3 linked regions of the Macaca mulatta genome follow. The protein of the gene in region 3 interacts with the protein of the main gene of each other region in a pairwise test. Links are inferred from orthologs where the notes say so. Each region holds a gene or a part of one and is shown on either strand. Other genes may lie near its edges. The genes, in order: PPP1R18, USP2 and VPS52.

What was found.
Region 1: the proteins of VPS52 (region 3) and PPP1R18 interact in binary tests that used the Homo sapiens proteins (3 or more experiments, as listed by UniProt). The two-hybrid records come from large-scale screens. The link is inferred for Macaca mulatta from reciprocal best matches to the Homo sapiens genes VPS52 and PPP1R18.
Region 2: the proteins of VPS52 (region 3) and USP2 interact in binary tests that used the Homo sapiens proteins (3 or more experiments, as listed by UniProt). The two-hybrid records come from large-scale screens. The link is inferred for Macaca mulatta from reciprocal best matches to the Homo sapiens genes VPS52 and USP2.

Annotation. Positions count from the first base shown.
Region 1 is NC_133409.1:152,356,706-152,366,690, reverse strand, and holds the start of PPP1R18 (phostensin), read right to left. Parts: upstream 5,924-9,985; coding exon 4,313-5,923; intron 1,670-4,312; coding exon of another isoform or gene 1,640-1,669; intron 1-1,639. Other genes in the region: NRM (nurim), read right to left, coding at 8,588-8,869, 9,189-9,383, 9,948-9,985.
Region 2 is NC_133419.1:120,066,635-120,076,680, forward strand, and holds the start of USP2 (ubiquitin carboxyl-terminal hydrolase 2), read right to left. Parts: upstream 5,740-10,046; 5' UTR 5,668-5,739; exon of another isoform or gene 5,657-5,667; intron 4,780-5,656; exon of another isoform or gene 4,638-4,779; intron 3,286-4,637; exon of another isoform or gene 3,170-3,285; intron 433-3,169; exon of another isoform or gene 253-432; intron 1-252. UniProt on the Homo sapiens protein: Hydrolase that deubiquitinates polyubiquitinated target proteins such as MDM2, MDM4 and CCND1. Isoform 1 and isoform 4 possess both ubiquitin-specific peptidase and isopeptidase activities.
Region 3 is NC_133409.1:149,013,389-149,023,665, forward strand, and holds the start of VPS52 (vacuolar protein sorting-associated protein 52 homolog), read left to right. Parts: upstream 1-4,333; 5' UTR 4,334-4,556; coding exon 4,557-4,646; exon of another isoform or gene 4,647-5,103; intron 5,104-5,635; coding exon 5,636-5,720; intron 5,721-5,867; coding exon 5,868-5,920; intron 5,921-6,099; coding exon 6,100-6,175; intron 6,176-6,356; exon of another isoform or gene 6,357-6,361; coding exon 6,362-6,429; intron 6,430-6,700; exon of another isoform or gene 6,701-6,732; coding exon 6,733-6,908; intron 6,909-7,596; coding exon 7,597-7,747; intron 7,748-8,037; coding exon 8,038-8,138; intron 8,139-8,245; coding exon 8,246-8,378; intron 8,379-8,503; coding exon 8,504-8,561; coding exon of another isoform or gene 8,562-8,569; intron 8,570-8,917; coding exon 8,918-9,051; intron 9,052-9,525; coding exon 9,526-9,681; intron 9,682-10,277. Other genes in the region: RPS18 (small ribosomal subunit protein uS13), read right to left, coding at 1-61, 175-276, 358-444, 3,508-3,606, 4,112-4,114. UniProt on the Homo sapiens protein: Acts as a component of the GARP complex that is involved in retrograde transport from early and late endosomes to the trans-Golgi network (TGN).

The sequences.
Region 1 (9,985 bases), about 3.3 Mb from region 3:
CACAGGGGAAAGATTAGCCGCTGACACCTTGAAAGGTTGGGGGAGATGACAAGGGCAGAAAGGAAAGTCCACACAAACCTGGGGTGGGGGCCCACAGTGTGCTCAAAGGGACAGGCGCAGAGACAAAATACCAGACAGGGCACAGAAAAATCACACTGTGCCAAAAGCAGGTGAGTCCCAGCTGTTCTCACTGCCTTTCTACCCTTCCCCTTTGCCCTCTTAAGAAGCTCAGGGGGAAGGGGCAGGGTGGGATTAAGTCTAGGAGCCAAAGGGATTAGGCAGACAGCAGGAGGATTCCATGTGGACTACTTGGAAAGGTCCAAATGATCTACTCAGGCCTTCCCTGGCATCTGTTTGGGAGGACTTGGGGCCAGTCGAACATCCCTGAGTCCCCAAATGGACTGAGGTATGAAAAGGGAGAAGCCAGAAGGGTGGCTGGGCAGGTGGTTGCTAAGAGCTGCATCAGATATGACACCAGTCGGGCACGGTGGCTCACGCCTGTAATCCCAGCACTTTGGGAGGCTGAGGCAGGATTATTTCTCGAGCCCAGGAGTTGGAGACAAGCCTGTGCAATAGAGTGACACTGTCTCTAAAAAAGAAAAAAAAAAAATCAGATATGACACCTGGGTCCCCATGGGAAAATGGAACTCGGGAACTGTGTATGTTACTCCTTGTTGGCTCCAAACCCCACATTGTCTCCCCATCTCACTTGGAGCAAAAAGTCTACTCGAGGCTGGGCGCGGTGGTTCATGCCTATAATCCCAGCATTTTGGGAGGCCGAGGCGGGCGGATCACAAGGTCAAGAGATTGAGACCATCCTGGTCAACATGGTGAAACCCGTCTCTACTAAAAATACAAAAAAATTAGCTGGGCATGGTGGCGTACGCCTGTAGTCCCAGCTACTCGGGAGGACAAGGCAGGAGAATCACTTGAACCCGGGAGGCGGAGGTTGCAGTGAGCCGAGATCACGCCAGTGCACTACAGCTTGGGCAACAGAGTGAGACTCCACCTCAAAAAAAAAAGTCTACTTGATTGCCCCAAAGGTGCCCAGAGCCTGACCAAAGCCTACAGGGTGCTCCCAATGTGCCACCCTCCCCTTGCCTCTCTGGCCTCTTCCTTCACTCCAGCCACACTGGCGTTGGTCCCTCCACGCACTCCCACCTCAGGACCAGAAAAGTACTAGCTATTCCTTCTGCCTAGAACACTCCCCTGAAATATCCCCATGGCTCTGACCCTCCTGATCACCCCATTTTGAAGTCTCCATATTCACTCCCCCTGCTTCCTGACCCTCTAAGTTCCACTGTTCTATTTTTTTTTTCATAGTCACTTACCACCTTCTAACTTCCTAGATAATTTACTAATTTATTATACTCGTGTCTGCTGTTGAAAGGAGCTTGGGGCCGGGCGCAGTGGCTCACACCTGTAATCCCAGCACTTTGGGAGGCCAAGACAGGGGGATTACTTGAGGTCAGGAGTTTGAGACCAGCCTGGCCAACATGGTGAAACCCCGTCTCTACTAAAAATACTAAAATTAGCTGGGCTTGGTGGTGTGCGCCTGTAGTTCCAGATGTTCAGGAGGCTGAGGATGGAGAATCACTTGAAGCCAGAAGGTGGAGGTTGTAGTGGGCCGAAATCTCACCATTGAACTCCAGGCTGGGAGACAGCAAGACTGTCTCAGAAAAAAAAAAAAAAAAAAGAAAAGAAAAAAGGAGCTTGAAAGTTGCTACAGTGCAAGAGTTTAGAGTTTGTTCAAACCTCAGATGAGGTGCCATCAGAGGACCAATGCTGGGGAAACAATCTGGGGGTGGTCCAGCCTATACATATTTGACCCCCCAGTTCATGTCTGTGGAACTGCTGGTACAATCTAGTTATAGCAGCCAGACTGCTTATATCCCAAGTTCTCAGAAGCGACCACTTAGTTTCTGTTACTGACAGATTTACCCACATTTCTGGGAACCCATTTTTGTTTTCTTCTCATATCCTCTTTTGGAATAATAACCTCTGTACTTTATTATCTATTCTGAAAAAGGACTTATTTTATTTGCTCTCGGTCTATGTTTGTATCTCCCCCCTACCCTGCCTCTCTCCTCACCCCCCACCAGCTTCTGACTGGACTTCTCAGGAATGCACAGCCTGCATGGGAGTGGGGGGGCGGGTAGAGAGAGGGTGACTCACTTGCTCCTCTCCCATCAGCTATATAAGGTCACAATAGGGCTGGTCTCTCAGCCCAGGAGGCCTCTGGGGTAGGGCACCAGCCACAGCCATCCCCTGGGCTCCAGTGGCAGGGCTGGGATTTCTCTCCTGATGGCAGGGATAAGTTTGATGGACTTAGCCTGCAAACGAGTTATTTAGGGAAGGTGAAGCGGGGGTTGGTGGCAGGGTCCTCCTATCTCCTATTCCTGAGCCAGTGTGTTGCAGCAGAGCTGGGACAAGGCACCCAGTCCCTGAAGAGCAGGGTGCTGAGAGTGGGGAGAGGGTGGAGGGTGAGGCATCTGGGTCAGAAGAACTCTGTGCTGCCTCTTCCCCACCCCCACCCAAGCAGTGGCTGCTTCCTTATTCTCTCACCACATCCTGAGCACAGCTCTGGCAGGCCCAGAGCCCAGGGTTCCCCACTCAGCCCCACCAGCCTTCCGGCCCCCACCCCAGGCTTCCTGTTTGGGCGATCTGCTTCCGGCTCCCCTGCTCTCTGGCCTAGGTATGGTCACCAGCATGGGTCCTGCCCTGCACTTGCTTCCTGGCTCCCCTGGGATGCTCCCTGGGCTTTGGGCCCCAAAGCTTCATGCTTCCCTCTGCTCATTCTTCCCCAGAGGCACAAGCCTCTCTCAGTAGGAAGTGACTTTTCTGAACACCTCACCCGGGTAGCATTTCCGGACTTCTGTTTTTTTCATCTGCCCAGCCCTGAGGGGAACAGGATGGTAGCAGTCAGAGGGCTGAGGGTAGGTTCCCAAGCACCATGGCTCAGGGGTGTGAACTTACGCTTCATGTGAAGATGAATTGGGCAATCAAATGAACCCCCCTCCACCCCAGGCTTAACCCATATCTTTAGTCCCTGTGGTTCCCCACTGACACTGAGGACACAAAAAAATCAAATCTGAGGATGTTAACACAGGGGATGAGAATGAGACTGGGCATCCCAGGCTCTGGGGAGATGTGTGTGACTGGAGGGACTTCCTAAGTCTGAGATGTCTGAGGTGGGACCTCTCTCTCGCCAGAGATTTTCAAGCTGGAAACAGGTGGGCGTGCACAGGGAAGAAATGAGGCCAGGGCCAGGGGGAGTTAGCCTAGCTGCCCCCACTTTCCTGCAGGTCTTTGTTGCAAGTCTAACCTCTGACCCTCTGCTGGCCTCAGCCCTGACCCCTATCCAGAACTCCCACTGTGCTCCCTGGCCAGTGCCTGCTCTCAAAACTGTCTCCAAATTCACTTCTCTCTTTCACTACCCTAAGGGGAGGGAGAGTCCAGGATGGCAGGAAGAGAGGGGAAAACCGAACCCTAAGCCAGTTCTTGGGAGGGAGGGGAAACCCAGGGAGGAAGGACGGGGGAGTGAGGGGCGGGAGTATTTTGGAAGAGGAGAAGGCTTTTCTTGTCCCAAGAGAGAAGGGAGCACTGTCTGAAGCAGTGGCCCAGCTGGGGGTGTGCAACCCCGAGGTCACCCACTTCAAATGGCCTCTCTGTGTCTCTCCCATGGGGCAGACTCAGGGTTCAAAAGCCTTCTCTCTGCTCTTTGGCCGGCCCAGTTCCATCTCCCCTCTCCCCTCCATCCTAAGATGTCCCTATTCAGCTCTGCCCTCTTTCCCATGGGGCAGTTGGACCTTCCTCCATTCACTTCTCCCTACAGTTTCTCCCTAGAACACAAACGCACCCCCTCCGCCACCCCAGGCTCCCTATCCCTTCTCCGCAGAAAAACTGCAAGTGCTTTCACCCTCGTGACGCTGCCCTCACTGATTCAAGCTTGTCAGTTTGGGCTTTCCCACTGGATGGGCTGGGGCGGGTCACACTCAGGAAAGGAAGGAAAGAAAAGGGGGCTGAAAATTCAGAGCCCAAGGGAAGGGAGAATGAGCAGCCGGGCACACCCTGAAAGAGACACACCCAGAGACGGCCTTTGCTGGGGCAGGATCTTTTGGGCTCAAAATGGAACAGGAGGGCTCTGAGAAGGAAGGGTGTATGTGCAGAGCGAGGAAGGGTGGTGGCAGGAATTAACAAGAAAGAAGAGAGGAAGACAAGAAAACAGGGGTATAAAAAAGAAATAAAGACCAGAGTCCAAAGAGAATTGACAAGTGGGCTTCTAAGAAGTCTGGCTTGGCTGCTTCCCTACCTGTTTGTGGTGTCTTTCGGGGGACCCCTTGGCAAGGCAGCTGCGGCTGAGACGGAGGTAGCCCCCCAGAACCAAGATCTCCTCGGCAGTTGGGTACCGCTTCTTCCCAGCTCCTGGGACTGCAGCATCAGCTGTGGCTGGAGAGGTTGGGGTGGCTGGGGTCGTAGGGGGCACAGACCGCCGGGGGTTGACGGTGAAGGTGTGTCCACTGCGGCGGGGGGCCCCCACCCCTGGCCCTGCCTTCACCCCATAGAACAGGCGGCTCATGAGGGGATCCCCAGGAGGTTGGGGGGCAGTTGGGGCTGGGGGTGGGGGAGACAGAGGGGCTGGTGGTGGGGGCTGGAGTTCCACTGCTTCCTCTTCCTGCTGTCTCAGGCCTCCAGTCCCAGCGTCCTCTGGTGGGAGGGGGGAGGGCACAGAGCAGCAGTTTTGCAGGGCTCTCAGAGGCCTGCCCTGAGCTCCCGCCTCCTCCTTCTCAGCCTCCCCTTCTCCAGCCTCCACACTAGGAGATTCCAGACGCTTCTCTGCTGACTCTGAAGGTTCTGGTTTCTGAGTTTGAGCCTCTATGTCCCTGGGTGTCCATTCTCGAGCCTTCCCGGAGTTCAGGGTCCATTTCCACCCTTCTGCTGGCTTCATGCCCCTCTCGCCATCTTCCACAGGCCTCTGCTCTGCTGCCTCCATTCCTGTGGAACTGCTGCCTTGGGCCTCCCTTGTCAGGGTCTCGGACAGCTCTGTAGTCTCTTCCGGAGCCACCCCTGGAACTGGCCACTCTTCTTTTCTGCCACATTTTTCCGAGTAGCCTTGTCTTTCTTCTCCTGACCTCAGCCTCCACTCTGTTGCCTCCAGTTGTACCAAACTCTGTTCCTGAGACTCTCTGGAGTCAGGTCTCCATTTATGGGCCTCTGTCAGGCCCAACTTCTGGTAGGCAGATTCCCCTGGGCTCAGTCTACTTTCCACCTCTTTTCTCCTGGGGCTTTGCTCTCGAGACTCTGCTAGTCTCAGACTCCGCTCTGGAGTTTCTCCAGGACTCAGCCTCCATTTCCATGGCTCTGACAGTCGGGAGCTCCTGTCTCCCACCTCTCCTGGGCTTTGCCTCCAGTCCCGAGCCTCCAGAGGCCTCAGGCTGGACTCTTGGGCTCCCCCTATCCCCAGTCTCCTCTCTCTGGTCTCCCTGGGACTTAGTCTCTCTTCTCTTGACTCTCTTCCCTTGGGGCTCTGATCCCGCATCTCCCCAGGGCTGGGTCTCCGCTCCCGGGCCTCCAGAGGCACAGGCTTTCTCTCTGCTAGCAGCTCTTCACTCCTTTGTTGCTGCTGCTGCTGCTGCTGCCGCTCCTGCCGGATGAATCGGTTCTGGTGCACTGGCCCAATAGCCTCCAGAAGGACCGAAGACTCATCTGGGTCTGGAGGGCCAGCCTCTGCAGTCCCCGGCACAGGGCTAGGCTCCCCAGGGGACAGCCCAAGCTTGGCCCGGCGGCGCTCCAGGAGCCCTCGCTTCCAGGCTGGCATCTGGGACAGGCGTTCCCGTTCTGCTTTCTCCCGGCCTCGAACGGACGCCTCCTCCTGCCGGCGCCTGGCTAGCAGCTGTAGCTTCCAGTCTGGGATGGTGGCCATGGTCGCCTTGAGGTGAGGGTAGGGAGCACTGGGGGCAGAGAACAGGAAGGAGAGGCTCCAGAGAGGCCCAGGGGGGAGACTGAGGGTGGGAGGAGAGGAAGTGGAGGGGGAGAGGTGGGACACAAAGCAGGGCAGGGGGGCTAAGGATGAGGACAGAGGGAAAGAGGGAAGGCAGAGAACTGGGGAAATGGAAAAAGTGAAGAGAAGTTGTGAGCCCAAGTTGGGGGTGGTGGGGGTGATGTGAGAGGAAGAGTCCAGATTGGAGGCAATGAGGGCAGGAGCCAGATGTGGCAGTCAGGGTTAATGCGTATTAAAGACAGTCTCTAGGATGTGAGACAGAGAGAGAAGGGCGAAAAGGAAAGTTGGTGTGAGGGAGAAGAGAGAAATGAGGCTGGGGTGAGGGGAATCTGGGTGCAGGCCAGACTGCCTCAGCGATACCCCAGGGAGACTAGTGTGGGAAGGAAGGACCAGGAATCCCTGGAAGGACCAGGAGGCAACGGGACCTGAGGGGGTGTTGGGGAGGCAAGGAGGAGCGGAAAGCGAAGAGGTCTAGGGGAGAAGGGAAACCAAGGAAGAGGGGAAAGGAGCGCGGCGGCAGCAACCCGGCGCGTCTCAGCGCGGGCCCCAAAGGTCCCGGCTCCCCTTCCAGCACCGCTCGGGCCACGCCTCTCCCCAGCCCCCACCCCTCTGCCCCGCACTCCGCCCCCGAGGCGGGTCGGGGGAAATACCCACCCCCGGGACTTTCGGAACCCGGGCGTCAGGGCTGCCAGCGCGTTCCCAGAACCCTGGCGTCCACCCCCACCCTGTCCCGTCACCACCGCCTGCCTCCCCCACCGGCTGCGCCACGCGACCCCAGAGTGCCGAGGGCCGGCTCCATGTCTCTTCTCCCCGGCGCCTGCAAGTCCTGTGCCCCGTCCCCGCTCTCATGGAGCCGTGACAGAGCCGGCAGTCTCCACCCCGCTCTGGACGCACAGACTGACAATCTCGGCACAAAGAGGAGACAGCCAAGATCCGGGCCAGGGATGGGAGCAAGGACCGGAGCGAGGAGACACCCACTCCCCAAGTCTGAGCCCCTCAGTCAACTCACACGCCGCAGGACCCCCGCGGGAGGGGGTGCCGAGGAGCCGGGCGTCCGGAGAGAGGAAGAGGAGGAGAGAGGGACCGAGGGAGATCCGGAGACTAGAGGGAGGGGAGGAGGGAAGGAGAGGAGGGAAGGAGAGGAGGGAAGGAGAGGAGGAGGGAAAGAGGCAGCAAAGGAGGTGGGACGGAGACAGAGACCAGGGGGCCGGGCGGGGGCGGCGACCGCTTTGTCTAAGGACAATGAGGAGAGGGATGGGGGCGCAGGGCGGAGCCGAGGAGGGGGCGGGGCCTAGCTCCCTCCCACCCCGCGTGGGACTCGCTCCGGGACTACCCTGTTCTTGTCCCAATCCCTGGCCCTCCGCTGTGTCCCCAGGGGCCCTCACCAGCTTCCCGCCCGGACACCCCAGGTGTCCAGATCCCTTCCCCCAGCTCGCCGACCCAGGGCGGTGGCCCGTGACTCAGGCCCCTCGTGGGACTTTGGGAGGAAGCGGCAGCTGCTCGGGGCCGGGCCCGCCCTTCCCATCTCCTGCAGCTCCTCCCTACGCTTTTGCCTTCTCATCTGGGTCTGGAGGTCCAACCTCTGCAGGCCTTTGTTTTTGCGGGTCGAGGGCAACCGCCAGGCTGTGGGGGGCCTTGTGGAGTGGGCGGCAGGAGAGGCGCTCAGAAACCAGAGGTTTTGGAAGCTCGCCCCCCTACCAGAGCTGCTGCCGGACTCTTTCTAGCTTCAACCTGTCTCCCTTGGGTCTCCGGGTCGGCTGCCAGGAAAAAGGGAATTTGAAGGAATGGGAATGGAGACCCGGCCGCTCTGGCAAAGTGGGCCGGGTCGGCGGGGGGTGGCCGAAGCCCAGCGGTTGCCAGAGGGCGTGGTGGCTGCCCAGACTCCAGTTCGGCGCTCCCAGGCTCCCTCTGGCTTTCTTTTCCAAACTCAGCCCTGCAGCTTGGGAGACACTGACAGACTGCATGCCATATGTAGAAAAATCAGGCTGACTTTTATTTTCCTGCAGAGCATCTTCCTCAGGAGAGCAGGGAGCCCCAAGTCATCGAGTTAAGAGCAGGAGAATACCCTTGACTAGGTTGGGGTCTAAGCACAGAGGCAGGGCCTAAGGAGGTGCAGAGACTAGGACCAGGAGTGGTGAGGCAAGGTGTGGGGCCTAGAGGGACAGCTATGACCATTGAACTTGCAGACCCTGGTCCAGCTTCTTGGAGTGGAAGCCGGAGGTGGAGAAGGGGACCCCTGAGGCACAGAGGCAAGTAACAGTGCCAGGGGAATGGTCAGGGCAGATCCTTTCCTTCTCAGGAGGCTGTTGAGGGCGAAAGTGTCATGCCCTAAACAGTGAGGGGACAGATGAGTTCCATACCCCGCTCTTCCTTGCTAGTGAGAAGTGGACCTTGGAGTTCAGTGGCTGAAACTCAGAATTTAGGGTGTGGAGCTGGACCCAGAGAATAAACTCTCAAGTAGTGGAAGGGGTAGCTCCTTCAGTCCATGAATTTGGGCCTCTGGCGTGAAGCAGCCATGGCCTGGATGTTAAGGATTTAGAATTCAGGGGGAGAGGAAGAACAGCGCTTGTAACCAGAGTGAGCTCCTCACTCTGCCTCCCCATCCTGGGGCCGAGAGAGCAGGTGGAGTTTTCTTTGTAGTTGGGCCCGGAGGTAGCGGAGGTCTTGCTGATCAAGCCCATGAGCCAGGCCCAGGTAGAGGGTAAGGAGGAGAGCAAGGAGGAGACGGTCCATGCCCAGGGTAGGCACCACCCACAGCACTGTCAGCAGCTCCACACACACTGGGTGGCGCAGGTGAGAGAAAAGTCTGAGAGCCCGGGGAGACTTCAGGGCCAGAGGCTCGCCCAGCCCCAGCACATGGTAGTATACCTAAGAGGGAGAAGAGTTTAGAAATTGAGTCAAGCCCTTTTCTCAGCTTGGGCGCTTCTTTCCTCCTCTTCCAGGCACCAGCCTTCTAGAACTCAGGCCCAGGAACCCCTCTTCTGAGACTTGGATCCCTGATCCTGACTTATGATCCATGTACCTTCCCCAGGCCCAGGAGGCCCATGGTTGCTGTCCTTCTGAGGGAAGGGTCATGAGGGAGAATCAAGGAGACAGTAGAAGAGCATGGGAGGAGGGAAACCCTTGAAAGGGAAAGAGTAGTTCTAAAACGGGTCAGAGGTCGTAGGTAGGGATCTCAGAGCCTCACCTGTTTGAGGCCCATGAGCTCAGCATAGTCAAAGACGAGAAGGATGCTGAAGATGAGAAGCCAGGAGATGACATGGAGCACAAAGCACAGGAGGGGCACCCAGGTGGCCCATGGCTCAGCCTGAGCTTCCCACAACACGGGGCCTCGGGGTACGGGCTCCCAGTACCGCATCACCAGCTGTGGAAGGATAAGGGGCTTCGTATCCCAGTGCCCTACCCTGCCCGACCTTGGGAGACCCGGATCCAGAGCTGCCCCCACCACAGGCTAGCCTGCAACTCTCCCCCACCTCTCACCTAAGCATCACCACCAAATATTCACCATGTGGAGGGTGCATGCTGGGTGAGGTCCCAAAGATGTAAGGATGGCCTGTCTCCACCCTGAGAATTTACAGAACAGATGGGGTGACCTGATAGCTACACAAAGTAGTAGCCTATGCCAACCACCCAATGAGAAGACAGACAAGGCCTCTTCAGACCTAGGGAAGTGGTTTTGAAGAAAGGGTAGGACTGAAGAGAAGGAAGGGATCTCAAGCAGGACATGAACAAAGTTGCAAAGGTGAGAATGCACGTATTGTGCTTGGGGAAGGACAAGTACACCCTTCTTGATAAAAACTAGGGTATGTGCTGTGGAGGAATGGAAGCTGAGATTAGTTCCTCAGTTCTCCTCCTGAACCCATATTTTGCCCCTCCAATCCAGGGCACCCCTCCCACACTTGGTCTCCCTTAGGGACTTCATACCTGCAAGGCCAGGGCCTCATACCTGCAAGGCCAGGGCAGTGCAGGCCACATACAGTGACC
Region 2 (10,046 bases), on a different chromosome or scaffold from region 3:
TCTGGCAGGTGATTGCCAGACCCCTCCCCCTCCTCCCAGCAGCCCTAAGAGTCATGCCATCACTAATACTCCATGGAAGCTGCTTCTCGGCTCTGACATCTAGCTACAGTTCCCACGTCTGGGGAGAGGGTTCCTATTGGGGTGGGGGCCTTCCGCATGTCTCTCCCCTCCCACAACCCCCAGTTTCACTCTCAAAGGTCCTAGCACCTTCCAGGTGAAGGCACAGCCTGGGTTGGTGCCCCTTGGCATTACCTGCACAGCTGTCCCTGGAGGCCACAGAATGCACTATGGGCAGGAGAGCGGGCTGGGGCCCTGGCCGGAGTCTCGCCGCGCAAGACAGGGACAGGACGGGCACTCACATGGCTGCGAGTCTCCCTGTTGCCACAGGAACAGCCTGAACTGAATGGCCCTTTCATGGGACAGTGGGAGGCAAGCCGATTGGCTGGGATCCCCCATACCCCTCCCTGCCCAGTGCGGGGCCCCTGCTGCCCAGCTTCTTTCACTGTTTACCCAGAGCTGGCAAGTACAGGCACGCAGCTCCAGGCAGCGCCTCCCCAGGTGTCCGCCACCTTGGACAACAGGGGCAGTCCCCTGCCCAGCTCCTCTTCCTGGCCATCTTCACTGAGGTGTCTGGACCCTTCCTTCTCTGTCAGAGATTCCTGTCATTTTGCACAGTTTCCCTCTCCTGGGAGGTGCAGCAGCACTCCTCTGCACAGAGGCCTGGGCTTCCTGTCAGGACATGTGAGCCAAGCAGCTGTCACCCCAGCCGGCTGGTGCTGGTCACCTCTGAACCAGGCCCCAGGCATGCTGAGTACTTCACATGCAGCTTCTGAGTCCATCTTCTCTGCGGCCTCACATCAGCTCTCATCGGCCCTCGCCATGTAACACATTCTTCTAGGTGTGCTTCATACACAGAGCACCCCAAAAAGTCTTAGTGTGGGTTTAAGCTGGAGTTCTTTCAGACATAAATGTCTCCAACTTACACACCTCTTTGGACAGATTAAATTATTTAAATTAAAATTAAAAAAACATTCACAATTAGAAAATAAATATATAAGACATTTAAATATGGAAACTTTCAAATGAAGTTTTTAGCATTTGTATTTCTGAAGTTATTAAAGCTTAAAACTGCACTAAGGCTTGGGACACAGTGTATTAACTCACTGAACCCTCCCGACTCCTTTAAGCGGTAGGTGCTGTTATAATATCCATTTGCAGATGAGGAAATTGGCGATGCTGGGAGTGATGTGGATTTCCCAAAGTCACACTGGGAGCAGTGGCAGAGCTGGGCTGGACCTGTGCTCTATGCTCTGTCCGCTATAGCTGGCCTGAAGCCCAGACCCCTGCTTCACTCTTCCCTGGCTCTCCATGGGACGAGTCGGGACTGGGACCTGTAGGTGGGGTTTGAGGGAAGGACCGCCACAGGATCCAGGTGTCCGGCCTCCGGCATCTCTACACTTCCAAGACAAGGCAAAGAAATGGGCCTCCAGGCAGTCCTGGATCCTTAAATTCTCTTTTCCAACCACCTCTGCACAAGTACTCTCCTGGCGTCCCCTCCCCACGGGAGAGCCCTGGTCTCCTTCCCTCTCCTGTAGGTACAACATGGGGTGTACAGACTCCGGCAGGAGCAGCCCTCTGGATTTTCCACTGCAGGCGAATGAAAGTGAAGCCAGGTGCAACTCGAGCCCTAGAACAATGCTGATCGGCCGCGAGATGGTCCAGGAAGCCTCCATTTCACCCACTGTGCCAAGCCCCTGTGTGTTCCCTGGCAGCAGCATCTACCCCAGCTCAGAGCCTTGGGTCCCTGGCCTGGTTATGAGCAAGTCCCTAGCCTCCTACCCTGGCTGCAGCTTGGCCCACTCCTCAAGGTACCCATGCTGGGTGAGTCAGGGGTTAAAATGAACCCCGTCCCCCTGGGGCAGCCAACCCCTTTGCTTCAGCCACTGTCACTTCCTGTTGCTCATGTGAAGGGCTCCCTAACCTGCCAAGCCAGGGGAGGAACTTGCTCCCCAGGAATTCCAGGCACTCCTGGCCCTGGGGGCAGGGGATGGGTGATGCCCCACATCACCCATCTGCCCAGATCTGCTTGGCTTTCTGAGGGTGAAAGCCTGCTTTGCTACTGGGGCCTGGATAGAGAACCTCTAGCTGAGTTTCAGAAGCATGCCTAAACAGGGTTAAGTCTTCCCTCCTACTCAGGTGCCCAGAAAAGGTGAGTGGGGAGTCCCAGCCAGTCCCGCCAGGTGGCTGGGAGTCTCCACAGTGGTGACCTCAGAGCCTCCTGAAGCCACTTGCTAACAGCATCAGAATGTGCTGACCTTGAAGGACAAGGCGGGTGAGAGGGGCCCTGTCTCCTTCCATCTGCACTTTGACCCGCCCTCCCAGCTGCTCCGGTCACCTGCTGCACTATCTGGGCACAAGTGTCTGGTCCTAGAGGATGGGATGAGGGAATCCTGGCAGGTGTAGAGGACGTGGGTAGAGTAGGGGATTGTGGGGGCAGGAGCATATTTATGCTCAAACAGTCCTTGAACTCAGCCTACTCCTCTCAGGCCCCAGGGCCTCAGCTGGCCCCCTCCTCTCCAGCCTGTCACTAGGCTCTGTCTATCAGGGGCTAGCACCCACTGATCCACCAGCTTAATCCTCTTGCCTGCCCTGGCAAGGGGTCATCCAAGGGAATTTGGGTCCATTTCTCTTTCTCCTGCTCCCAGTAGTTACCCAAGAGCTGGGGGAGGGGAGGAGGTAAGATAAAGAGATTGGAGATTAAGGCAAGAATCCTGACTGGTGGAGAAGAAGTGGGTGGGCCCAGGGCAGTTTCTATAGGGTGCTCCTTGATTTGGGGTTGTGAGTGGGGTGGGCATCTCTATGCTTCCAAGACAAAGCAAAGAAATGGGCCTCCAGGCAGTATTGGGATCCTTAAATTCTCTTTTCCAACCACCTCTGCCCAGGTACTCTCCTGGTGTCCCTTCCCCAGGGGAGAACTCTGGTCTCCTTCCCTCTCCTCTAGGGCCTTATCTTTCCTCTGTTCTCAGCCTCCGGAGGAGCCTTTGGTCTTGCCCCTGACACCCACCAGGCCCAGTGGAGTGGCCTCTTACATGCTATCCTAGATACACTGATGTCTTTCCTCTAGGTAGAGTCCCAGAGAAGCTCAGATACCAAAGGGGCAGCTACTGACCTGTGTCCAGGGGCACTGGATGGGAGCTGGGGGCTTCTTCTTCCACAGCAGGGCAGGGAATGCAGTGGAAAGTCCAGAAGCTGGAGCCTGACTCCGGGCTGGGTAATCCGGAGCTCAGGTTACTGACTCCGATATATATAGTATCTTATCTGACCTCGCACACTTGCAGAGATGGTGAGCGCAACTCACTTGCATTCCAAGCCCCGGGAGAATTAAAGGGGCAGTGGCATACCCACCCTTGAGGGGCTGCCCTTTCAGGCCAGTGCCAGCCAAGGAGGTCTGTAAGGACTCTTGGAAGGGGGGCATTTTGAAGGGGAACAATGGGGAGATTCAAGAGGAAAGAGGACTGAAAAGAGCACGGAGGGGTGGGGGTGGAACTTGAGACAAAAAGACGGAGAAAGTGGATTTTCCAGAGCAGTCAGTCACAGGATTAGAGAACAGGAAGAAGCCATACTGTTAGCCCCACTCTTAATTTTGAGATAGAGTAAACCTAAAGAAAGAAAGCAGCTTGCTCAAGGGCATATACAGATAGCCAGAAGCAGAAAGGGGACTAGTACTCAGGTTTCAGTCCAACGTTCTTTTCTAATGGACTTCTCGGCCTGGGCTTGGAGGCTAGTTCTTTCCCTTATTGGCTCCAAAATAGTGGATAAGTCACTTAAGTTCTCTGAATCTTAGCTATTTAATCTACAAAACAGGAATAATAATAATAATGGTCTATCTCAGTTGTGAGGATTAAATAAATTAATATTTGTAAATTTCCTGGCCCATAGTAAGAGTTCAGTAAACATGATGATTATATTGAATACTTCCACTTATTATAATTAGTGGTATTATTAGTAATGGCACCTTACCAGGAGAACTTTCCTAGGGAGAAAAGGAAGGTTACTCCTGGGGAAGGGTTCTTTTCTGTCTTTCTTTCTTTTCTTTTCTTTCTTTCTTTTTTTTTTTTTGAGACAGAGTCTCCCTCTGTCTCCCAGGCTGCAGTGTAGTGGCATGATCTCGCCTCACTGCAAGCTCTGCTTCCTGGGTTCACGCCATTCTCCTGCCTCAGCCTCCCGAGTAGCTGGGACTACAAGTGCCTGCTACCATGCCCAGCTAATTTTTTTGTATTTTTAGTAGAGACGGGGTTTCACCATGTTAGCCAGGATGGTCTCGATCTCCTGACCGCGTGATCCGCCCGCCTCGGCCTCCCAAAGTACTGGGATTACAGGCATGAGCCACTGCTCCTGACCAGACGTGTGCCTTTCTAATGCCAGAGAACAGTCCCAAGGTTTTTTGAACTGACCATGTCCCATAACCGGGAAGGGCAAACAAGGCTTGCCATCTTCCTAGATGTCCAGTCCACCAAGCAGAGAAAGGCCAAGCCCATTTGGGCTCCTTCCCCCTTTGCCTAGAAAAATACGGCAAGCACAGCTTCCCCCAGACCACCAGGAGAATGCTTGGCCCCTCTGGGGTGGTTCCACTCTACCTGTGGGAGGGCTCAGGATTCCAGGGCCACAGAGCCGGGCTGGGCAGGGTCACAAGAGGAAGGAACAGGGTTCTTAGCCTCTCTGGCCTTGGTGCACTTGTCTGCTCCCAGGACGTTTTCTCGATGGCTCTCCCCCAGGACTGGGAGTACCCAGCTTGGTGCCTCCACCCTGTCTTAGCACAGGCTACTGACTCAGCCCAGGTCCTGATGATGCACTTCAGAGGACGCCCTCATTCCAGTCCTCATTCTGACTCTAGTCTGACTTGCATCTACAGCATCAAAGGAAGGGGCCTGCCTCGACCTTAGTCCAGTCAGTTCTCCTTTCCTCTGCTTTACCGGGGTCCATCTGGGGGATGTTCTCATGCCCATTCCGGGGGAGGTGAGCAGCCCCTACCACTACCTCCAGCTCAGTCCCATTCTAAAGGCAGCCAGGTCAGGAGGTAGGATGTTCACTCTTCAGGGAAGGGCTGGAATGGGTTGGCTAGGGCTTCCCTTGACTGTTGAGAAGTTGCTCTCTTCGGAACACCGCGTGCATGCTTCTGGTTTGGGATTGGTGAGAATTTCAAAGCTGCCTTTTTCTGGTTAGGGATTGGTGGAAAATCTCCCTTTCCGCTTAATTGTTGCACACCCCATGCCCCCAACCCCCTTTAGCAAACTGACCAGATACAACCCGGGCAGCTTTAAGAGCAGCGAGTGAGCTGCACGCACACATGGGGAGGGGTGTCAGTGTCACTCTTGGGCCACATACCACCGATATACCAGGGCACAGCGAGGAGGACCCGCCGAAGCAGCATTTCCTTAGAATACACTGATCAACACACAGATGGCTTTTCCTGGCACCCTGGGCTGTCAGCAGGCAGCCCTCACACAACTGGCAGACACAGCTGGAGCGTCCCTGCACAGCCGGCTCTCTCCCTATATTTCTAGTGTTCACTCTGCCCAGGCTGTCGTGAACACCTTACTTTCTGAGCCCCAAACCGGCACTGATCCCCGAATCCCCCCTCCCCGATTCCCGACAGGTGGCACGTACCTGCCTCTTCTTGGAGGATGGACGAGTCGAACCGGGCACAAGCATGGAGCTGCGGGTGAGTCCCGGCTGGCGCTGGCGCTGGCGCTGGCGCGGCGCAGTCCGCAGCTGACGCAGAGAGCTCCCCGGCCTCGGCTCCTGCCTGCCTCTCTCCCACCTCCGCCGGGGTCCCAGAAGGGACCTCCCCGGGAAATCGGCGCCACCCAGCGGGCAGCCGCCTCATCGCGCCTGGGCCGGCAGAGCCACACCCCCGCGTCTCGCGTCACTGAGTCGCGTCACGGCTATTGGCTTGTTCCTATTGTGGCGTCATTAGAGCCCGGCCCGGCTGGGGTCTCCCAGGCAACCGATATACACAGAGAACCACGTGGAGGAAAAGCACGCGAGTTTGGAGTGGGTGGAGCAGGAACAGAGGTGGACTGGAATGTCACACGACGGGGCAGCTGGAAGGTATTGGGAAAGAAGAGGGGTCATGGGAGAAGGCTCGGAACTTGAGCCCCGGGGCATATCAACTTCCAGTTTTTAGGGAAGGCTAAACATCCCCCACTCCCCTTCTCACCGGACTGGGGGAGGTCCTGTTCCTCAGCCTCTTCTCTTTTTCTTTACTCTCAAAGACACTCGCCGCTCATTTTACTTCCATGGGACCAGTGATTAGTGATGAGTGCCCGAGTGGGTAAATGGAGGCACTGAGTCAATGGAAGGAATTCTCTTTGGTCTTTTCAAGAAAAAGCCGAGACAACACTTGAATTTTTGCTGATCCCGTTACTTTTGTGTAACCTTCTCCCCACTCCCCGGATGTTGATGAGGAAAACTGCACAACCAGGTAGCTGGGTACCAAGGCAAATCCAGGTTTTCAACTTCAGCTGCTCCATCAACCCTTGCAGGTGCCCTTAACGCCTCCCATCTTCACCATAGACCTCTCTCTCCATTGCTACTCTCCTCAAGTCCTTCCTTCTCTTCTATTTCCCAGAGAAATCAGACGCAATCAGGAGGAGAATACTTAAATTTCTACCTGCAAACATGTCTGAATCCATTCTTACCAGGAGCAGTGAAAGAGGCACCCCTGTTCTTGTCCAAGACGATTCCCTTCTCGATTTCAACTCTTTTTTTTTTTTTTTTTTGAGACGGAATGTCGCTCTTGTTGCCCAGGCTGGAGTGCAATGGCGTAATTTCAGCTCACTGCAACCTCCTCCTCCTGGGTTCAAGCAGTTCTCCTGCCTCAGCCTCCCGAGTAGCTGGGATTACAGGCACCCACCACCATGCCTGGCTAATTTTTGTATTTTTAGTAGAGACAGGGTTTCACCGTGTTGGTCAGGCTGGTCTCGAACTCCTGACCTCAGGTGATCCACCAGCCTCAGACCCCCAAAGTGCTAAGATTACAGGCGTGAGCCAGTGGGCCTGGCCCCAGCTAATTTTTTGTATTTAGTAGAGATGGGGTTTCACCATGTTATATTTCCTTAGGGCCCTCATTCCATCACTTCATTTTACAGATGGATATTGGACATGCCAGTCACTTGTCTAGAAACTGGAGATATAGCAGGGAACAAAACAGGCACAATCCCTGCCCTCAGGGAGCTTACATTCTAGTAGAAGCAGGACAATAAATAAGTAGAATATGTAATATGTTAGATGGTGCTAAGAGCTATGGGGGCACATCAAGCAAGGAGGAAGTGTGTTCAGAGAAGGTAACATTCAAGTGACCTGAGGGAGGCTAGGCGTGAACCACATGTAAATGTAGGGAAAGAATCTTCTAGGCAGAGGGAAGAGTAAAAACAAAGGTCCTGAGGTGGGAGCAACCTGCCACTTTCGAGGAAGAACAAAGTCAATGTGGCTGGAGTGAAGAGACAGAAAGATAGGGAAAGAGTGGGAGATGTGATCAGAGAGGTAAGGGAAGGACCAAACCTGCATGTCCCCAAGGTCTTTCTGAGGACTTTGGCTTTTATGGAGCTATTGAAAGGTTTTGAAATAGGGGTGTCCAATCTTTTGGCTTCCCTGGGTTATGGTGGAAGAAGAATTATTGTCTTGGGCCACATATAAAATACACTTAACATTAAAGATAGCTGATGAGCTTTAAAAAAATCACTAAAGGCCGGGCGCGGTGGCTCACGCCTGTAATCCCAGCACTTTGGGAGGCCGAGGCGGGCGGATCACGAGGTCAGGAGATTGAGACCATCCTGGCTAACACGGTGAAACCCCGTCTCTACTAAAAATGCAAAAAATTAGCCGGGCGAGGCGGCGGGCGCCTGTAGTCCCAGCTACTCGGAAGGCTGAGGCAGGAGAATGGCGTGAACCCGGGAGGCGGAGCTTGCAGTGAGCCGAGATCGTGCCACTGCACTCCAGCCCGGGCGACAGAGCGAGACTCCGTCTCAAAAAAAAAAAAAAAAAAAAAAAAACCACTAAAAAACCTCATAGTTTTTTTCTTTTTTTTTAAGAGACAGAGTCTTGCTCTGTCGCCCAGGCTGGAGTACAGTGCCCCAATCTTGGTCCACTGCAAGTTCTGCCTCCCGGGTTCACGCCATTCTCCTGCCTCAGCCTCCCAGGTAGCTGGGACTATAGGCGTCTGCCACCACACCCAGCTAATTTTTTGTATTTTTAGTAGAGACGGGGTTTTACTGTGTTAGCCAGGATGGTCTCGATCTCCTAACCTCATGGTCCACCCACCTCGGCCTCCCAAAGTGCTAGGATTACAGGCGTGAGCCACTGGGCCGGGCAAAACCTCATAATGTTTTAAGAAAGTTTATGAATTTGTGTTGGGCCACATATGGCCCGCAGACTGCGGGTTGGACAAGCTTGTTTTGAGCAGAGGAGGGACAGGGTTCCTACCTTTCGCTACTGTGTAGAGAACAGATCTGAAGACAGCAGAAGCGTGAGACCATTGCTGAAGAGAGCAGAAGCAGGAGACCATTTAGGAGGTCATTGTGAGCCTCTGGTTAGTGTGGTAGCAGAAGAGGTGATTCAAAGTGGTGGATTTTAGAAGTATTTTGAATGTGGACTAACAGGATTTTCTGATGGATTAGGCAGTGTGGGGAGGAGGGAGGAATTTTTCACCTGAACTTTAACTGAGAAGGGGAAGGCTGTGGTAAGAGAATCTCTGGAACCTGGGAGGCAGCGGTTTCGGTGAGCCGAGATGGTGCCACTATACTCCAGCCTGGGTGACAGAGCGAGACACAGCCTCAAAAAAACAAAAAACAAAAAACGTATGTCTCCTAGGCATCCAAATGGAGATGTCAAGAAAGCAGCTCATGTGCAAGTTTGGTGTGGTCTGGGCTGGCGATAAAAGATTGAGAGTCATCAGCATATGGAAGTTATTTAAAGCCAGGAGATGAGAAGAATTACCAAGGGAGCAAGTGTAGATAGAAAAGACGTGCAAGGACTAAATTCTGGAGCTCTCCAATATGAGCTTGAGATCAGTTGGAACCATCAGAGAGACGGAGGCATAGGTCAGTGTAGTGAGGAAAAAAACCCCAAGAGATGGTGGTATGCTGAAGGCCAAGAGAAGGAAACTTACTGAGGAGGAGGGAAAGGTCAATTGTGTTAAATGTGGCCCATAAAGTAAGTAAGATGAGTTTGAGAATTGAATGATTGATTGATTTTTTTTTTTGTTTTATGTCTTGTCCCTCCCTTGCCCCCCCACTGGAAAGTATATAGAGCAAAGATAATTGATTGAAGGTCATTGGTGATTTTGACAAGAACAGTTTTGGTGGAGTGGTGGGGGTAAAAGTCTGATCGCTGATAAGTTTAAGAAAGAATGGGAGGAGAGGGATGGAAACAACTCTTTGGAGGCAACTCTTTGGAGGAGTTGTGTTGTAAAGGAAGGAGAGAAATTGGCTGGGAGCTAAAAGGAGAAGTGAGGTCAAGAAAACTTCTTAAGTGGGAAAAAATAGTTATATGTTATATGCTGATGGGGAGGAGCCAGTAGAGAGTGAAAATTGACAATGCAGTGGGGAGTGAGGAGAACGTCTGGAGAAATGTCCCTGATGAGGGGAGAAGGGATTGGACAGAGTCCAGAAGCAGAGGGGCTGGCTTTGGTTAGAGGACTGATGGCTCATGCAAAGTAAAAAGAGAGAAGGCATGATATTTGGGTAAAGTAAAAAGAGAGAAGGCATGATATTTGGGCATAGATGTGGGAAGGCGGATTGATGTGGGAGAAGCTGGTGGATATTATCTCTTCGAGGCCTTTTTTTTTTTTTTCCTCTTTGTGAATTAGGAAGCAGGGTCAGCTGACTGTGAGGATGAAGGGAAAGGCTTAGAAGTTTGAACCTGGAGGAGGAGTTCTAAAAAAGTCACTGAGAGCAGTGATTCTCAAACTTTAGTGTGTACCAAAACCACCTAGAGAGCCTATTAAAGCCCTCCCACAGTCTGGGCAACATAGAACGACCCTATCT
Region 3 (10,277 bases):
GAATCTTCTTCAGTCGCTCCAGGTCTTCACGGAGCTTGTTGTCCAGACCATTGGCTAGGACCTGGATTGAGAGGCGGCGGCAAGGGATGTTTTATCCCCTGACCACCTACCTATGCCCAATTCTATCAGGACCCTCCACCCTTCCTCTAATCCTGCCCTCATTTCAGTACACACCTGGCTATATTTTCCATCCTTTACATCCTTCTGTCTGTTCAAGAACCAGTCTGGGATCTTGTACTGGCGTGGATTCTGCATAATGGTGATCACACGTTCCACCTGGCAGGCAGGACAAGGTCAGATCTACATGACCCCCTTTCTGAGGCTGACCCCACCCCCAGCCCCCTTCCTTGTCCTCACCTCATCCTCAGTGAGTTCTCCCGCCCTCTTGGTGAGGTCAATGTCTGCTTTCCTCAACACCACATGAGCATATCTTCGGCCCACACCCTGAATGAAGTGAGGGTTTTCGGAATTAGGGTTCAATCTGATTTTTAAATTCCTTTATAGCCTCATTATTCAAAAAGCTCACAAAGGTAGGATCTGCAATAATCTATTTTGCAATTCCCTAGGTCACCCTTTCGTCACCCACCTTTCCAGATATAAACCATTTGATAGAAGGTTAACTTTGGGCCGCACGCAGTGGCTCACGCCTGTAATCCTAGCACTTTGGGAGGCCCAGGTGGGTGGATGACTTTGAGGGCAGGAGTTTGAAACCAGCCTGGCCAACATGGTGAAACCCTACTAAAAATACAAAAAAATTAGCCGAGCATGGTGGTGGGTGCCTGTAATCCCAGCTACTTGGGAGGCTTTGGCAGAATTGCTTGAACCTGGGAGGCGGAGGTCACAGCAAGGCGAGATCACACCACCACACTCAAACCTGGGCGAGAGAGAGAGACCCCGTCTCAAAAAAAAAAAAAAAAAAAAAAAGGTTACTTTGTTCAGGGGCACAACTGAATCATGAACACAGAATTTAGTGTTATAGACAACCCTTTGAAAGCAGGCAGTATCTTTTTTTTTTCTCCTCATTGCTCAGCATATGTATTTGTCACTAAGTGCCTTCTGATTCTTGCATTTAGGAGAACAAGGGGCCTGCCTCTCCAAGCTAATGCAGTAAACCAGAGTCTTATGAGTTACAGGATTTGATTAAGGTATTTGGGCTGTCAGTTCCTCAGAATCTCTAAGGCAAATCACTGTATCCCTATAATCAAAGTATTCCAAGATCACAAACTGAATTTTGTCAGTGCCCAGAACTGACCGCCCAAGTGATTATAAAAAAAGCCTAATGCTTACATTGGTAGCATCATATCAACACCAGCACTAGCACCCATGCTATCTAAATTCATGAACCAAAGTGATTTGGAGAGTGAAGGATGAACTGAATAGTAAGCCCTGCCCCTCATTTTGTCCAACTAGAACCTCAGAATGTGGCCCTATTTGGAAATAAGGTCTTCACAGAAATAATTAGGTAAAATGAAGTTATCTTTGATTAGGGTGGGCTCTAGATCCAATGACAAATCATAAGAGAGACATGAAGAGGACCATGAAATGACAGCAACAGATTGGAGTAATGCAGTTACAAGCCAAGGAACACTAAGGATTACTGACAACCACCAGTAGATAGGAAGAGGCAAGGTTATTAAGTGCCTCCAGCACCGTAAGTAATTTTCTTAGTTTATATGAACTTATTATAGTAGGCCCCAGGAAACTAAAACAAATGGCAGTTCCTCTCTGCGAGAGTGAGAGATCAAGGGTTGGCTTCACAGTGGCTCATGCCTGTAATTCCAGCACTCTGGGAGGCTGAGGGTGGACGATCACTGAGCCCAGGAGTTCCAGACCAGCTTGGACAACACAGCAAGATCCAGATTAGCCAGACGTGGTGGTGGTGCACACTTATAGCCCCAACTACTTGGGAAGTTGAGGCAGAAGGATTGACTTGAGCCCTGGAGGTCAAGGCTGCAGTGAATGGTGATTCCGCCACTCCAGCCTTTCAAAAAATAAATGTGGCTGGGCGCAGTGGCTCAAGCCTGTAACCCCAGCACTTTGGGAGGCTAAGGTGGGTGGATCACCTGAGGTCAGAAGTTTAAGACCAGCCTGACCAACATGGTGAAACCCCCCCCTTCTAAAAATACAAAAATTAGCTGGGCGTGTGCCTGTAATCTCAGCTACTTGGGAGGCTGGAGTTGCAGTGAGATGAGATCACGCCACTGCACTCCAGCCTGGGTGATGGGGCAAGACTCTGTTTCAGAATAAATAAATAAACGTGACCAAGGGTCAAATTATTAGGTTTATTCAGAAGAGAGCAGGGTCTTTCAAATATATATATTTATTTATTTATTAAATGACGAGGTTTCACCGTGTTGGCCAGGCTGGTCTTGAATTCCTGACCTCAGGGGATCCACCCACTTCAGCCTCTGAAAGTGAGCCACTGCACTCAGCCTCAAATTTAATTATATGTTTACAAATGAATATTTACTTCAAAATGAGAGTGGGAAGACAGATAGATAAAATGAGATTTCTAATTTTAGTTAGAATAACTTTCATCCATGAAAGTTATTCTCTATTACACTTCTGAATGGTGCACCTCTACTTAAGCCTCACAGCAAGTATCTAAGTACAGTATTTCACACTGCCTTATTAGTTTCACAGAGCACCCAACAGAAGGAATTTTCCTCTACACATTCCTTAAACCAGCCAACAGTATCCCTACTACTATCCATTAGCTAACGTCGCCTAAGTATCTACCATGCAACAGAAGCCAAGAACTGTAAGACAGGCCTAGCCCTGCACCCATGAAGTGGACACATACTGGTAGGCTATTTCCACAACTAACTACAAATTCTGACTTAAGAAAAAAAAAAAAAAAGAACGTGTGTATCTAGAAAGCCAGGAGTTTATTAGGTTTGTGGAGAGAAATACCCAAGTGAAATAATTATTCTTGCATTCACTGATTCGATTCTTAAAAGCCGAAGAGAGAGATGTACTCCTTCACACTTTAACAGGAGTGTCAACTCTGACATATGAGTAAATGTCCTGCTCATACTTCTTCCACCCTCCATCTACAAGTTTCTTCACACTTTTTATCTGTTGGCATTTTTACTCATCCCTCAAGATGCCCAATAATCCTCCAATTCTGAGGGAATATAAATTTCACAGGAAGGGTTGCTGTTATAATGGCAGGGTGGGTAAAGAAACCGAATCTAGAAGGATCTCACGGTTCAGGAAAATCTTAGCGAATTCGGGTGAGCAACCATACCTCCTTCCCACTCCCCCGGGTGAAATGTTTTGGCTTGACCTTAGACCACTCTCTTGGCTTTAATCACTTATTTTCTGTGGTAAATGTGGTAAGTGCTAAAGGGGTTAGTCTCTCCCTAAACCACTTTCTTTTCTTAATCCAGCAGTCAAGGTGCTCTGGATGAGACTCAAGTCTCCCCAACCTTGCTTCATTTTTGCTCATGTCTTCACAACCCAATTCTCATTTACATTCCCTATTCCTTACCCTACTTTACTTACCTTAATGGCAGTGATGGCAAAGGCTATTTTCCGCCGCCCATCGATATTGGTGTTGAGTACTCGCAAAATATGCTGGAACTTTTCAGGGATCACTAGAGACTGGTTTAAAAAGTACGGGGGAGAAATTAGACACAGTAAACTATCAAACAGTAAGGTTGAAAAGGCAAACGAACTTCATACAAAACGGTTAAGCCTGTCACACAAGTGGCAAAGGCACCCGATCCCCACCCCTAAGGTTTTCACACCACACAGCAAACTCCTCAGTCCTGCAGAGTAGGTACATGAAGCGTTCAAGCTTGGGAAAATGCAACCTTTGGAGAGAGGAGGCAGGTCTCCTGCCCATTCCCAAAAGTGCGTGGCGGAAGCCAGAGTTCCCCATATACGCCCAAGCCTTAGGCAGCTTCCGTGCGCCAGAGCAGTGACCCTTCCTCGGGCCCGCTCTCCGGAACTGGAAATCTTTGGTGTCCCTTTCCAGGGGCGCGATCCAAGGCTTCATACGGAAAGTCTCAGGCCCTCAGGACAGGGCGTTTCCAGAACCCCAACAGCCGGCTTTCCTTGCCCGAGTTGCGATGTCGCTGGATCACGGCACGGATTCCAGGCTTACCATGGCGGCAGCACAAGCGGCGGCGTGTAGGCCTCCTGTGGAAGAGAGAGCGGAAGTGACGCGGTATCATTATATAGCGTTCAGGAGGAAGAGGCGGAGCGATCTAGGAGAAGTGCTTCCGGAAACTGTTTCAGCCTGACCTAGCTGGACTTAAGAGAGTATGGCTCGGGTACCACAACTTCCGGTGCGCCTTTCTTTACAGTTCGTAAAGTTCATAGGTTTAAGAGAAGCGAAGGTTCCGGGCTAGTTTGTGCTTCAGACTTCCACATTTCCGTTTAGAGTTGGGTGAAGTGGTTAGAACTGAAAGGGAACAGCTGGAGTCAAACAATTTAACTCAAATATCTGGGAACGATTTCGCGCTGAGGAAGACCCTTTGGGACTTGTAGCTCCACTCCGGGGAACAGACTCGCCGGCCTGACAGTTGCCGGAAGTGAGGCTGCGGGGAATGGCCGCCGCTGCGACCATGGCGGCTGCCGCCCGGGAACTGGTGTTGCGGGCAGGGACGTCAGACATGGAGGAGGAAGAGGGCCCGCTGGTGAGAGCGCGGAACTGTTTCTCCTCCGTAGTCCCGGTGCTCCTAGCTTCAGAAAGACCTGAGCTGGGTTTAGGCACAAGGGTGGGAACTTGGCTGCTACCTGTGATATTACCTGTTTGACTCCCCGTACCCTTCCCTGTGATCAGACCCGACCCTGAGCGGGACCCTCGTGGCTGAAACTCATATTCTGGGGCACAATTTCAACTTCGCTCCACATTTTGGGGTAGAGTCAAGAAGTAATATAGTGTAAAGGTTAAGAACATGGACTCTGGAGCCAGACTGCCTGGGTTCTAATTCCATCTCTGCCACTTACACGCTGTGTTCCCTTGGGCAAGTTAACCCGCTTTTCTGTGCCATCATTTCTCAGACCTATAAGATGAGGAAGATAGAACCTACTGTATACATCGTTGTTAGGATTAGATGAATGAGTATGTTTAAGATTGCATCTCGCACGCAGGTAAACACTATGTATTTTGACATTTATAGAAAGCCTGGGGTTCCCCAGAGGTGTGATAGAACATCCAAGATGGCAGGAGCCTGAGGGTCCTAAATTTAAGTGCAAGTTCAGCTCCATCCTCTGCAATTCCTAGCTTTCCTCATTAGGTCATCTCCACTGTCTTGTCTTTTACTTTTTTTTTTTTTTTCTTGAGACGGTTCTCCCTGTGTTACCCAGGTTGACCTTGAACTCCTGATCTCCTCAGACAGTCTTCCAGTCTCAGCTTCTAAGTAGTTGGGACTACAAGGAGCCCGCCACCATGCTGGGCTACCTCCACTGTCTCATTGGATCGTCTCACTCCTTGTCGTATTCCTTACCTATCAACACAAAATAGGAGAGTGGGTACAATGTGAGACTTACAGTTTTTCAAAGCGGTACCTGTGGCTTCCAGCAAAAGCACCTCCTTCTCACTTGAAGGACTGGGGATATCCAATTACATTTTTTCTTTCTGTCTTTCACTGTATCCTACTCCCATTAACTTATTCCTTTTCAGGCGGGTGGTGCTGGGCTCCAGGAATCACTGCAACTTGGGGAGTTGGATATCACTTCTGATGAGTTCATCCTGGATGAAGTGGATGGTAAGTGATGGCGTGGAGTGGGTGCAGTACCTGTAATCTGAGAGGCATGGGAGCTGGAAGGAATAAGGTAGGGATTGGTGTGCAGATACTCAATGTGGGGAGAGGGAGCTGTGGAGCTGAACCCTTACGATAAACTTCTATTTCCAGTTCACATTCAGGCAAATCTGGAGGATGAGTTAGTAAAGGAAGCTCTTAAAACGGTGAGGATTTCCCCTATACTAATCTGCCCTTCTATCTACTGTCCCCCAAAAGGAAAAACAACAGTTTTTTGCTTTTGTTATATCAGCCTGGTATCTGATCCTTTAGTCCTTCACTGATTCTGTTACAGTGTCCCTTTACTGAGACTTTTTTCTGACCTGTCATCTTTATGTCCTCCCAGGGTGTAGATCTTCGTCACTATTCAAAACAAGTTGAACTGGAGCTACAGCAGATTGAACAGAAATCCATTCGGGATTGTATCCTCCAGCAGAGGGAAGGGGCGGTGCTATTGATATGGGGATTTTGTGGTGTGTGGTACAGATGTCTCAGCTGGGGTCAACATCTGTGAGGTTTCTGTCACTTCAGAGAGCAATTGGAGAGGTACTACAAATCTGAGGCTCTCCCATTTTCACCATGAGGCCCCTTGACTTTTTGTGGGTCAGATATTCAAGAGAGTGAGAATATAGCATCTCTGCACAACCAGATCACAGCCTGTGATGCTGTCCTGGAGGTTAGTAATCCTGAACTGTGACCCCTAATAGCTGCTCTGAACCAGATCATGGACTCTGGTGCCATTTTTAGGTCATCAGCCTTAAGATGGGGACAAGTTAGGGTCATTTTCAAGATGACTTCAGGAGCCTTTTTTGTTATTGCTGCCATATTTAATGTTATTTCCTGGTAATCTGGGGTATCTCATCCTCTGCCACCCTCATGGACTGATGAATACTGAGGACTTCACAGAGAGGCTTTGGTGGCCCACTTATCCCCTACAAACCCTATAGCACTCCAGCAACATCTTCTACCTTCCCTACAGCGAATGGAGCAGATGTTGGGAGCTTTTCAGAGTGACCTCAGCTCCATCAGCTCTGAGATCCGGACACTGCAGGAACAGTCAGGAGCCATGAACATTCGACTTCGAAATCGCCAGGCAGTTCGGGGGAAACTTGGGGAGCTTGTTGATGGTCTGGTCGTGCCTTCTGCTCTGGTCACGTGAGTTACCGGTTTGAAGGGTCATGATGTCCGTGGCAGGTGAATGGGCTGGGGTGACCTACCTTATTTACCATATGGGTCTACTGGCTCCAGATTAAGTGCTTTTTAGAAATTAGTAGCCAGGTTAACCACCATTTTTTTAGGCATGCATTAGGCATCAAAGATTAAGATTAAGAATGATGTAAGATCGGCTGGGCGCAGTGGCTCAAGCCTGTAATCCCAGCACTTTGGGAGGCCGAGACGGGTGGATCACGAGGTCAGGAGATCGAGACCATCCTGGCTAACACGGTGAAACCCTGTCTCTACTAAAAATACAAAAAAAAAACTTAGCCGGGCGAGGTGGCAGGCGCCTGTAGTCCCAGCTACTCGGGAGGCTGAGGCAGGAGAATGGCGTGAACCCGGGAGGCGGAGCTTGCAGTGAGCTGAGATCCGGCCACTGCACTCCAGCCTGGGTGACAGAGCGAGACTCCGTCTCAAAAAAAAAAAAAAAAAAAAAAAGAATGATGTAAGATCAGGTGTATAGTGGGAAGGTCCAGGAATAGAAAACTTTGTACATGTGTCCTGACTATATGGTACAGTGCAAGGTGGTAGAGATGATAGGAGCTGGAGGTAAGGAGTGTGGTCTGGGTCTGGTTTAGGGATGTCTGGGTTTCCCTTGTAACTTATCCCACCCCTTCCTGCTACCCAGGGCAATTCTGGAGGCTCCAGTGACAGAGCCCAGGTTCTTGGAGCAGCTACAGGAGCTGGATGCCAAGGCAGCTGCAGTCAGAGAGCAGGAAGCTAGAGGCACAGCAGCCTGCGCGGATGTCAGAGGCGTGCTCGATCGGCTCCGGGTCAAGGTGGGAAGTAGGGATGGATACCCTGGAGGCTACTAGAAGCAGCCCTCCCAAGATCTTCACTATGGATTTTCTTGGCAGAGCTCACTGTAGCCTGTCTCCAAGAACTTCACCCTGCCTTTTCTGGGCAGCCCCATTCTTGCCTCTCTGGGTTTCCTTGAAAATCTTGAGAAATACCAAAGAGATATGCACCACTTTTCAATCTATGTTTACCATTTGTTGCTTCCCCCAATTCCTCTCATACAGCAAAAAGGTTGCAGCTTCATGCTCTGTGCTTGGTTCCCCACATCTAGGCAGTGATGAAGATCCGAGAGTTTATCCTCCAGAAGATTTATTCCTTCAGGAAACCAATGACCAACTATCAGATCCCCCAGACGGCCCTGCTGAAGTACAGGTCACAACCCCAAGGAAGTGCATGGGATGGCCTTTGAGCTTTTGAGCAGCCTAATGGCATCTGGTTTCCTGGGAGACAGGTAGACTGACATGTTCCTGACCTCCTAGGTTCTTCTATCAGTTTCTGCTGGGCAATGAACGAGCAACAGCAAAGGAAATCAGGGATGAATACGTGGAGACGCTGAGCAAGATCTACCTGTCTTACTACCGCTCTTACCTGGGGCGGCTCATGAAGGTGCAGGTAAGGTCAGGAGGGAGAGGCATTCCTGGGCACGTGGACTGGGAGGAGGGGACATCCCTGGGCAAGGAATATTTTATTGTGTTGTCGGAAGAGACGGTTATCAGTTCTCTTTTCTGTTTTCTTAGTATGAGGAAGTTGCTGAGAAAGATGATCTAATGGGCGTGGAAGATACAGCGAAGAAAGATATCCTAGTCCTGGGGAACCCTCATGCCAGGTCTTGAGAGTGGGAGGACTTTCGGCTGCAGCCACCAAGGCACTGTTCCTTACCTTTTCCTATGGGACTGAAACCTTTTAGAATGTGATGAAAGCTATAGCCTCCCTCCTAAGAAAGATGCGTCATTTTGACACATAGTTTTGCATATGATTGCAGGAGGTGGGGAGACACCCTGAAGTCCGTTCACAGATGTCATCACGTGGGGCCCTAGTACTGGGAAAGAGGGCTGACTAGGCCATGTCTCGCTGTCTGGGGTCCCTGCAGATAGTGAGTCTTTGGGCCCAGTTATGGTCTCATTGTTTTCCCTGACTCTGACCCATCTTACGATTCTTCTCAAAGCCATCACTCCGCAGCAGGAACACCATTTTCACCCTAGGAACCCGTGGCTCTGTCATCTCCCCCACTGAACTTGAGGCCCCCATCCTGGTGCCTCACACAGCCCAGCGTGGAGAGCAGAGGGTATGAGGAGGAACAAGCTTCAGTCATGAAAGAGACTCTGAGCATGGAGGGAGGGAAGGCCAGACCTCAGGGCAGAGCTTCCCAACCTGCAGGCCCTGTCTCGATCCCCTTAGACTTGGGAGTGGCCTTCTCCAATCACTCCAGCCTGCTGTGATGTGAAAAGAGCTGGGAACCATTGACTTAAGGGCATGCAGAGGGGAGAGACTGGATGAGGGGAATGACGGTCAGAGGCAGGTGTTGAGGTGGATGCAGGAGTAGCAACAGCAGGTGGGTGTAGGCCCTTTTTGTACCCCTATGTTCCCCCACCTTTTCAGTGCCCATTCAGCTTGCTCTTTGACAGCCTGGACCTAGATGGATGCCAAGGGTCTGCCCAGCTCTTATTACCCAGGTTTACTGATTTTGCAGCCATATCCATGGGAAGTCAGTGTTGGGGTCCATCCCTTCTGTGTTTCTTCTTTACTTCTCCTCTCCCAGTATCCATTTGAGGCCCTCTTCCGCAGCCAGCACTACGCCCTCCTAGACAATTCCTGCCGCGAATACCTTTTCATCTGTGAATTTTTTGTTGTGTCTGGCCCGGCTGCACATGACCTGTTCCATGCTGTCATGGGCCGTACACTCAGCATGACCCTGGTAAGATTCCTATTTCCTGTACTATTCAACACCTTTGTCCCCAGTCTTCATCAGCAGCATAGTGGGGTCATGACTCTGGTAGAACTGAAATCAATCAGGATCCTCATTCTAAAATGTCTAAGCCTTGGCTGGGCATGGTAGCGCACGCCCATAATCCCAGCATTTTGGGAGTCTGAGGCAGTAGGATTGCCTGAGCTCAGGAGTTTGAGACCAGCCTGGCCTGTCTATGAAAAATAAAAAATTAGCCAGCTGTGTGTTGATGTATGCCTGTGGTCGTAGCTACTTGAGATGCTGAGGTGGAAGGATTGCTTGAGCCCAGGAGGTCAAGGCTGCAGTGAGCCATGCACTCCAGAGTGAGACCTATCTCTTAAAACAAAAAAAAGAAAAGCTGGGCACAGTGGCTCACACCTGTAATCCCAGCATTTTGGGAGGCTGAGGCGGGAGGATCTGTGAGTTCGAGACCAGCCTGACCAACATGGTGAAACCCCATCTCCACTAAAAATACAAAATTAGTCGGGCGTGCGCAGCCTGTAATCCTAGCTAATCAGGAGGCCGAGGCAGGAGAATTGCTTGAACCTAGGAGGAGGAGGTTGCAG